Coturnix japonica: one gene and its partner. The protein of the gene in region 1 binds, or shares a complex with, the protein of each later gene. Links are inferred from orthologs where the notes say so. Each region holds a gene or a part of one and is shown on either strand. Other genes may lie near its edges.

Region 1 (5,620 bases):
GGGGGTGATGGGGAGCCCTAAAAGCATCCAGGATTTGGGTCTGTGCAATAAACAACAAGGCAAACCTCGAATATAAGGTTGAACCCTTCTGCTCACTCAGCAGCTCAAAAGCAGGGCTCAGTGCTTCCCTGTGCAGTGCATGGGGGGGAAATAGGGATATAGGAAAGAAACATTACAATTAAATAGAATTACAAATTCTTTATTTAAAAACCTTGAGATTGTGTATATATATAAAGGTGATCCTTCAAGCCAAGATCTATCCTGCTTTCTATATGAAAACCTATATCAACACCCCGTATTTACACCATCAATGCTCCAGTGTGTGTATACAGGTTGTGTGTGTGGCCATAGAACAAACAGGCAACAGTGTGTTAAGCATCAACATGGAAACCATAGGGAACAGACAGCCACAAAGAGGTGAGATGTGTTTGTTTCCAGTCATTGGGGTTTTTAATTTCCTCTTCCTAAAGCTTTTCCTGTGGGGGAGAATGTTAGAAAGCAACGAGAGCTTCAGTTCTTTTTATATATATATATATATATATAAAGAAAAACTTAAATAGTGCAAACCGGGTAATAAAAACATGCCACCACGTAACGAGTACAATTACAAACAAAAAACATTAAGTTACTCATGGAGCTGATAGAAACAAAGGGCTGAGGTTTAGGAGATACATGACAGTCAGCCATAGTTTGGGTGCTGCAATGTATAGCGTGCATTGATGTGGACCTCAGCCCTCCCAAACCACATCGTTGCAACCTAAAAGCCTCAGGTTGTGTTTCCTTTTCTTCTCACTTACCTTGGAATCGACAGGCAGCTCATTGTGGTCAAATGCCCATTGCTCACAGTGCAGAGCAACCACCCAGGACACATAAAACCTTTGCAATATCCCTCTTTTAGTAGCAAACCTGGTCATTCTCCCTTCTAGAACTCTAGAATTTGGCAAACTCTACAAAACAAGACATTACAAACAATGCATGGGGTTACATTTGAAACTAACACCTCAGTTCAGTAGCGTTTTCAAAGGCTTATGACAAAAAACAGTGGATAAAAATATTCTTAAATACACTTTGCTGTGTTCTACATCGTTTCTTTATCCAGCAGAAAACCATCTTTGAACATGTTTCCAGCATCAGATCATTCACATCCAGCTGCTCTTTTGCTTGTCAGGGGGGTGAAATAAGTCAGATTTCCCACTATACAGACCTACCAAAGCCAAATATTCAGTGGAGTCCCCCACAATAAACCATAAGAACCAGTCAGCAACAGAAGGACTTTAAGGCAATAAGAAGCACCAGTGCTTTGATGCTCCAACATCTCCATCCCAATGCATGTTTTATTGTAAAAGATTCCTCTCCCCTGCTCCCCCATCCCCAATTGCCTTCATGTCTGTTAACTATCGGACTCTTCCTCCTTCTCCTCTTCCTCATCATCGTCCTTTGCGTTGGCCTCTGATTTATCAGATGATTCATGGAGAAGGACGTACTCCCTGCTGCTGAAGCCAAACTTCAATACATCCTTTTCTTTCAGTTCGTAGTAACGTTGAGGCTCAATCCTCTGGTTGTTTAGAAAAGTACCATTGCCAGAACCAAGATCAATGATATACGGCTTTACCCTGCGGCCAACTGTGCCATCAGCGCGTGTGTGCTCCACAAGCCTAGAAAACAAAAACAACCCATCAAGTCAATGATAACACATGGATTTTTCAACACATCAGCCCCACTGTTGTAAATACTTAACCATACTTCAAAGATCTGAGCAAGTACAATGAGAATAATTAGACAGGGCACGGAAATACTCAAGATTCTGACAGACTGCTTCACCCCTTAAAGTTATGATCATATAACATAGTAAATCCTGAAGCAGAACAGATGGTTGTTCCTTAAGAGAGCAGCTCTGCCTCCTGAAGCACACAACCCTGCTGTTTATAAAGGAGATCGGCAGCCTTTGTTGGGAAGGAACAAATGAAAAACCCTCCTTTAAACGTTCTTTATTGCCAATCCCACCTGCTAATAACTCCAATTCAGATATACAGGCAGTTCTGTATTTCATCCTGTTGTGTTGTGTTTCTTACTAAAAGTCTAGATATGGTTAAACCAAAAGGAATTATATATATGTTAAGAGTCACGAGGCTGCTTATGGTTAAACAAAAAGGAATTACATATATGTTACATCCATACCTAAATTCCACCTATCTAAAACCATTGAGCAAACATGCATTTTCTAATCTGTGCACATCCAATACGTTCTTTGATTCCCTTTGCACGCAAGCGACCAAATAATCCCCACCTACCAGAGGGATACAGAGCGATACTGACCGGTATTGGAACACAGCGTGTTGCTTTGAGCAGGAGGGATGATCAATGGGGATATCTGCTATCCTGCGGTGCCTGCCCAGGAGATAAGCACTCTGCCTATGAATGTACATGACAGGCAGGAACTCATCGTTTTTAAATGGATAGAGACGCCATCGTTTCTTTGGAATCCGAGCTTCTGGGGGCTCACTGTATTTAATCACAACGCCTCGGAAAGTGTTGGTATCCTCCAGAAGGGCACCAGACAGTTCAAAGCTTGGTTTTTCTTTGTTTACAGCTTTATCTTTTGGTTTGTTATCAGATTGTTTGTGTTCTGGATTCTGCTCAGCACCGCTCCCCTCGTTGTTCTGTCGATGCTCTCGTCTTCTTTCGTTATAGAACTCCCTCTCTGCTTGTTGCTCACGGATGTTCTGAACATCTCTTTCTCTCTCATGGCCTCGACCTCCAGGTCTTTCCTCCTTTTTCCTCCTGTCTGAGTGATCTCTGTGCCTGTCTCTGTCACCGCTTCTATCTCGTCTGTGTTCTTGCTCTGACGTGTGTCTCTGCTTTCTCTCTTCATTTCCTCTGTGAGGATGATCGTCTCGTTCCTGAGGAAGAAGACAGAAAACACATGAAAAACACAGACTGTAACATGGTACGTGTATATCTAGATTTATTTATTTCCTTCCAAAGTGAATTCCCACAACTTGGGCCCAACAATGCAAGGCTGACAGAGAGCAATGCATCATAACATCAGCCTTCAGGGTCAGCCTGCAGGCTGGGCTCACTTAAAGGCACAAATACTCATTTTCTTACAGGAATAACAGGGGCTGGGCTCACTAAAAGGTACAAACACTCAGTTCTTTCCAGGAAAACACGAAGCAGAGAGCAAGGAGATGTTACACTGTAAGACTCTCTCTTCCTTAAGAGTTATTCTAGAGGGATCAGGGGGCTGGAGCACCTCCCCTATGAGGACAGGCTGAGGGAGTTGGGTTTGTTCAGCCTAGAGAAGAGAAGGTTGCGGGGTGACCTCATTGCAGCCTTTCAATACCTGAAGGGAACTTACTCCCAGGAGGGGAGTAAACTCTTGGAAAGGGCTGACAATAGCAGGACACGGGGAAATGGTTTTAAGTTAAAAGAGGGAAGATTTGGGTTGGATGTTAGGGGGAAGTTCTTCACTAGGAGAGTGGTTAGGCCCTGAAACAGGCTGCACAGGGAGGTTGTGGATGCCCCGTCCTTGGAGGTGTTCAAGGCCAGGTTGGACGGGGCCATGGGCAACATGATCTATGGGGTGTCTTTGGGGATCTATGGGTTGTCTGTGGGGCTCTATGGGGTCTGCATGGGGTCTGTATGGGGTTCAGTGGGTCTCTATGGGGCTCTATGGGGTGTCTATGGGATCTCTGTGGGGATCTGTGGGGTCTCTATGGGGATCTGTGGGGCCTGGCCTCTCCCAACGCCATTTACCTGCTTTACCCTCACACCTCCATGGTGCGGACTCCTGCTCCTCCTCCCCCGCGGTGATTTGCTCCTCCGGCCGGATTTACTCTTCCTTTTAGGCGACCTTTAAATCAAGTACACAAGAAATGCACAGAACCTCAGGGTTACGATACAGGGCCGTAATAAGGCCCTATGAGGCCTCCTACCTGCTGCTCCTGCCCCGTCGCTCCTCAATGGGGGGGGATTGGCTCCCATAAGCCGAACGGGACCCGCAGCTCCGTGGGCTGCGCTTCTCGGCCTTCACCGCCATCTCCCCCCTCCTTCTCTCCCTCCTCCTCCTCTCACTCTCAGCCTCCATCTTGCTACCGACTCCCCCCACAACCGGAATTACGTTTTCACATCCGTGTTACCTCTCTCTCAACCACCCGGAACTACATCTTTACCTAACGCTCATGCGCCTTTAGAACAAACAACGGAGCGGCGTTTATAACCATAGCGACCGAGGAGCCGCCATGATCCCACCGCCCGATTCGCTGCTGCGTTATAACCCGCCCATGCTGGTGAGTCGCCGTACTGAGAAGCGATCACCAGAGGTGAGTGAATATGAACCGATATTATGGCCCATGAAGGCCAAAGGAATCCTATATTGTATCAAAACCAGTGTTACTAGCAGCAACAGGGAGGTAATTGTCCCCCTGTGTTCAGTTTTGGGCACCTCACTGCAAGAAAGACATTGAGAATACATTCAGAAAAGGGTTATGAAGCTGGTGAGGGGTCTGGAGCATAATGGGGACTTATAAGAAGAAGCTGAGGGAGATGGGGTTGTTCAGCCTGAAGAAGAGGCTCAGGGGAGACCTTATAGCCCTCTATAACTCCCTTAGTTAGAAGTTAGAAGGGAGGTTGTAGTGAGCCTCTAATCCATGATAGAAGTAGAGGGAATGGTTTTAAGCTGTGTCAGGGGAGAGTCACGCTGGATATTAGGAAGTATTGCTTCTCAGGAAGGGTAGTCAGGCATTATAATGCACTGCCCAAAGAGGTGGTGGAGTCACTGACCATGGGAGTGTTCAAGAAACATCTGGATGTTGTGTTGATGAATATGATTTAGCTGGGAAGTATTGGGAATGGTTGGACTAGATGATCTTCTAGGTCACAGAATGACCCGGGTTGGAAGGGACCTCAAGGATCATGTAGTTCCAACCCCCCTGCCAAGCAGGGCCACCAAACATACACATTTACTAGATCAGGTTGCCCAGGAGACCCCATAGAGACCCCATAGATCCCCCATAGATCCCCATAGATCCCCATAGAGACCCCATAGATCCTCATAGAGACCCCATAGACCCCCATAGAGACCCCATAGATCCCCATAGAGACCCCATAGATCAGGTTGCCCATGGCCCCGTCCAACCTGGCCTTGTACACCTCCAAGGACGGGGCATCCACAACCTCCCTGGGCAGCCTGTTCCAGGGCCTCACCACTCTCCTAGTGAAGTCTTTTCCAACCTTGATAATTCTGTGTTTCTGTGATTCTGAATGGGACGGGGGGAGCCCTCACACCTCACCCATCCTGCTCACACCGCTTTCTCCCTTCAGGCCTCACCGTTGAAGGGAACCCCACAGGCCTCCCCGCCATCAGGCCCTGTCCCTCCGTCCCGACCTCGCACTGCTGCCGCCTCCGCCGCCTCCACGAAGGAACCTCAGGAGATCCTGAACGCCATCCTACCGCCGCGGTGAGCCGGGGAGGGGGGAACAACAAGAGCCTTAACTCAGGACCGCCCCGCCGAGCTCCATCGCTGCTGCTTTCCGGTGCAGGTCATGGGAGGAGGATAACCGGCTGTGGGTGCAGGAGGTGTCCAGTGTTCCCAGCACCCGGCTGGACGTCGTGCAGCTG
Region 2 (4,587 bases), on another chromosome or scaffold:
CAGACAAGATCGACCAGGAAGACTTGTATGAGAAACTGAAAACAGAGCTTTGAGCTGTGCACCACCGCGGCTCCCAGAGATAAAGCCCGTGTGTTGAAGATGTGTAGTTGCAACTAAAAGGAACGAAGGAGCTGCTTGGATGCTGTGATTTTATTCTAACTCACTTCTCACTTAGCCTCGAAGAAGGAGGAAGCATCCAGCCAGCTCCAGGCATGAATTCACTTGAACTGCTGTCAAAAGTGGGGGGGCATTTCCTCATGTGAGCCGGCCCTCCCTCAAGCAAAGCCTTCAATCTGTCCCTCTGTAAGATAACCAAGGTACTTTAAATGCCATATTGACCCTTAAGTGTCCTTCAGATCCTACCAAGCCCAGGATCTGCATCACTGTGATTAACTGAGCACTGATCCCTTAGACCTGCGCATGTTGCTTTCCCTTTCTGGACATCTCTCTGTTGAATAAGTCAGCTTGTTAGCATTAAATCTCTCTGCTTCTGCTTTTTGAAGGGGTGTATCAAGGATTGTACCCCATCCCCTTGGGGTGGGACTGGTGAAGGGAAATGGCGATCATCTACTTGCTGCTGAACCTCACTCATGTCTTAACTACGTAGTAAATACCATGTTGCCATTACAAATAAAAGCAACACACTGGTTTGAATGTAAGCAGGTGCTGCCTTGAACTGTTGTCTGTGTTACCTGCATTGTGCTGTGTCTCAGAGCTGCTGCTCGGTTCTCCATCAGCAGAGTTCTCCTGTACCAGCAAGTTGTGCTTGCTTAGCTCAAACTCCCACTAACAAGCCTCCACTAGTGTAGCCTCACTCTTGCTGTGCTAGAAAAGATGAATGCACTTGATTAAAGCTAAATTGCAGGACTTGCACTGAGATTAGCAGCATCACAGGAGTCCGTACGTGCTGGAACACGATTCAACTCTTAGAAGCTTGCTGGTACCCTGGGGTCAATGCTTTGTTCTGTCTGCTTGGGGGCAATGAGAATAACCAAAACCACTTTTGCCTCAGCACAGAGGTGGAGACCAGCACAAAGTTGCAGGCAAACACTTGAGCAGGACAGATATTTCAGTCCCCTTCACTCTTTACAGAGCAATGCTAGGAATAGAAGTGCCACAGCCTGTTATTTATGGGGGGGGGTTTAAAGATATAGCCAGTATCATTTGAACACCCACTCAAAGAAATAAAGCTGCCTGAAAGCCATCCTCCAGCTTTAAAGCTGCCACTGACACACTGCTGCACTCACAAGATTAACTGCCCCAGGCTTCAGTTCCACCAAGCACAGCTCACACGGGTTACACCAACCAGTACAAAATTTATTTAACAAAAAATAAGCTTACACTTGTGGTTGCTTCATTAGGTTCAGGTGAGTAAACAAAACACAACGGGGTCGGGTCACTACAGGGTTCCTCTGCCACTATACTCGTTCCAAAGCTTCCAGCATAATGATGCTGTTTCCTCGTATTACCTACAAAGAGAAGTTGTCAGCAGGAGGTGAGATGAAGCACGTTATGCCCACAGCACAGAAGGTTTTCTTTCCCTTTGACTTTTCCTCCTAGAAAGCTGCATGGCATGTGCAGCTCCAAGAGCTGAAGTGAATGAGAGAACTGCAGGGGCTCATGGCAGCAGTCAGCCGGCTGGAAAAGGCTCCTGCAGGAGGGTGGTTGATAGAAAAGGTGGATGAGAGCTTGATATAAGACAGCAATGTATTCTTGTGACCTCACAGCCAGCTGGGCTGCCACCCCTCTGTTACTGCAGCAGACACGGAGGGCTCTGTCCCATCCTGCTCTGCCCTCCTGAGGCTGTTCCCCATTCCTAGAGGTGCCCAAGGCCACGGATGGGCACTGGGAGGCCTGAACTGAAAGGAAGCCCCCAGCCCAAAGCCCAAAGCCCAAAGCCCCCAGCCCAAGGCACAAAGTGGGCCTGGGGGCTGCCATCCCCCCCAGCACTCACCACCATCCCGATGTTGTTCTGCTGCCCTCCAGGCGCCATCTCCACGCACTCATCGATCACCAGGTTCATGAAGGGGTCGAAGCCCCGTAGGATCCCCTGCACGTGGCGGCCGCCATTTAACTTCACTACGAGAAACCGGCTCATTCAGAAACAAGGGGAGGGGGGGGTTAAAAGGGAAGGGAGGGATGGGGGGGGGGGGGGGGCTTTGTGAATGTGGGCTCATGGCACAACCCCGTTATAACAGCGGGACTCACACGACAGCTTCTTGTCCATGAACCTGCAACGAGAGCGCAAACAGAGCAGGCCGCATCAGTGTGGGGTCGGGACCGCCATCATTGCGGGCCCAACCGGACCCAGACCGAACCCGAACCGGACCCCACGGCCCCTCCCGACCCTCTGGGCCCCCCTCATCCCCTTCAGTCCTCCCTTATCCCCCCTCATCCCCCCTCATCCCCATGTTGGCCCAGCTCTCACTTCTTCAGCTCGGGTGGGTGCGCTTTGCTCATGGCGTCTCCTCAGCGCCGCTGCCGCTCGCGCCGCGTAATGACGTCATCACGTCGCACGCTACGCCCAAAGCCCCGCCCCCTTTTCCCGCCAACCTTCGCATCTCGCCGGCAGCCAATCAGAGCGCTCGGACGCGGCGCGCGTGCGCGTTTGGAGCGGCCCCCATGCAGCACGTGCATGGAGACCTGCAGCTCTGCTGCATTGCATGCACCGCGCATTGCACACCCACTGTATGCACGGCATTGCACACACACAAAGGCACTGATACACGTATTGCAAGCCCTGCACGGCTCACCGTGCACACCTTGCACAGCCATCGGCTCACAGCTGGCAGTGTGCACCCTTTGCACACTGCACCCTTTGCACACCCTGCACCCTTTGCACACCCTGCACCATTTGCACACCCTGCACCATTTGCACACTGCACCCTTTGCACACTGCACCTTTGCACACTGCACCTTTGCACACCCTGCACCCTTTGCACACCCTGCACCCTTTGCACACCCTGCACCATTTGCACACCTGCACCCTTTGCACACCTGCACCCTTTGCACACTGCACCTTTGCACACCTGCACCCTTTGCACACCTGCACCCTTTGCACACCCTGCAACATTTGCACACTGCACCCTTTGCACACTGCACCCTTTGCACACTGCACCCTTTACACACCAGCACCCTTTGCACACAGTGCCCCACACCCTGCAGAAGCACTACCCCACACCTTGCACACCTGCACACACCTTACGCAGCCATCACCCCACACTTTGCACACCTGTACCCTATCTATACACTGCACATTTGCATGGCTCATCCCACCCCCTATACACTGCACAGCCATCACCCCATACTTTGCACACACCCACCCCATACATTACACAGCCACCACCCCACACCTTGCACCCCCACACCCCAAACCCCCAGCACCCCTCGAGCACCACGAGTGCAGCTCCTTGCCTTTAATACCACCTTCCCCCACCCCAACAGCACCCGCTAGTGCTGTAGGGCCGCCAAGCCATCCCGCATCCTCTTGGCCATGCCTGGCACCAGGCGTAGGTGCTCGTCCCCACAGGCAGCAACGCAGGCGTCGAGCTGGGAGCGTGCCCTTGTCTCCCCACCGCCCGCCTCCAGGGCATCCTTGGCTCTGTCAGAGCAGTGCAGCGTGCAGCGGCTCAGGCGGTCCTGCAAGGGGATAAAGGGGCATAGATCAGGAGAGTGATAGAACCACAGGGGTTGGAAGGGACCTCTGGGGCTCCCCCATGGTGATAAGCATTGACTGGATCCCCTCTCAGCCTCTGCAGGTGAACAGCCCTCGGGGCTCTCAGCCTTCTCCCATCAGGGGATGCTCCTCCAGGCCTCCACCATCTCTATGTCCCTACATCAGCTCCCTGCCTGGAGCTGAGCAGCCACAGCTGGACCCAGTGCTGCAGATGCGGCCTCAGGGCAGAGCAGGAGCACCTCCCTCACCCTACTGGCCACGCTCTTTTTAAAGGACCCCAGGGTCCAACTGGTCTTCATGGCCACCAGGATGCACTGCTGGCTCATGGTCAGCCTGTGGGCAATCAATGGTCAACTGTTGGTCAGCCATCGGTCAACTGTTGGTCAACCATTGGTCAACTGCTGGTCAACCATTCACTGGTCAACCATTGGTCAACTGCTGGTCAACCACTGGTCAACTGTTGGTCAATCATTGGTCAGCAGTTGGTCAACCACTGGTTGACCACTGGTCCAACGTTGGTCAACTAGAAGCCAACCAGGACCCCCAGATCCTTCTCTGCAGAGCTCCTCATCCAGCAGCTCAGCCCCCAGCCTGCACTGATACGTGTGGCCCTTCCCCCCCAAGGTGTAGGACCCCTCATTAACTCAGATGAACCTCATTAGGTTCCTCTCTGCTCAGCTCTCAGCCTGCTCAGGTCTCATTGAACACGGCTTTTAGGGGTGTCAGCCTTGTGGGTGCCCCCCATGTATTTCCTCACCTGGAAACGTTCCAGCTCGCCGGTGACGATGGCCTGGGCTTGGGCCAGGGGTGCATGGCAGCGCTCGATGCATCGCTGCACCTGCTGCATGGAGGCTGTTCTGTCCTCGCAGCATCGCGCGCTGCAGTGGAACATGATGGCCTGCAAAAGGGAG

What was found.
Region 2: SNIP1 (region 1) and SNRPG share a complex: the UniProt entries of both Homo sapiens proteins name them as parts of the minor spliceosome. The link is inferred for Coturnix japonica from reciprocal best matches to the Homo sapiens genes SNIP1 and SNRPG.

Annotation. Positions count from the first base shown.
Region 1 is NC_029538.1:3,338,309-3,343,928, reverse strand, and holds SNIP1 (smad nuclear-interacting protein 1), read right to left. Parts: upstream 4,112-5,620; 5' UTR 4,088-4,111; coding exon 3,936-4,087; intron 3,854-3,935; coding exon 3,757-3,853; intron 2,901-3,756; coding exon 2,317-2,900; intron 1,656-2,316; coding exon 1,391-1,655; 3' UTR 184-1,390; downstream 1-183. Other genes in the region: DNALI1 (axonemal dynein light intermediate polypeptide 1), read left to right, coding at 4,242-4,322, 5,323-5,459, 5,542-5,620. UniProt on the Homo sapiens protein: Required for pre-mRNA splicing as component of the spliceosome. As a component of the minor spliceosome, involved in the splicing of U12-type introns in pre-mRNAs. Down-regulates NF-kappa-B signaling by competing with RELA for CREBBP/EP300 binding.
Region 2 is NC_029537.1:790,783-795,369, reverse strand, and holds SNRPG (small nuclear ribonucleoprotein G), read right to left. Parts: upstream 2,548-4,587; 5' UTR 2,461-2,547; coding exon 2,429-2,460; intron 2,232-2,428; coding exon 2,209-2,231; intron 2,080-2,208; coding exon 1,955-2,079; intron 1,470-1,954; coding exon 1,419-1,469; 3' UTR 1,297-1,418; downstream 1-1,296. Other genes in the region: protein FAM136A, read right to left, coding at 3,451-3,639, 4,434-4,574. UniProt on the Homo sapiens protein: Plays a role in pre-mRNA splicing as a core component of the spliceosomal U1, U2, U4 and U5 small nuclear ribonucleoproteins (snRNPs), the building blocks of the spliceosome.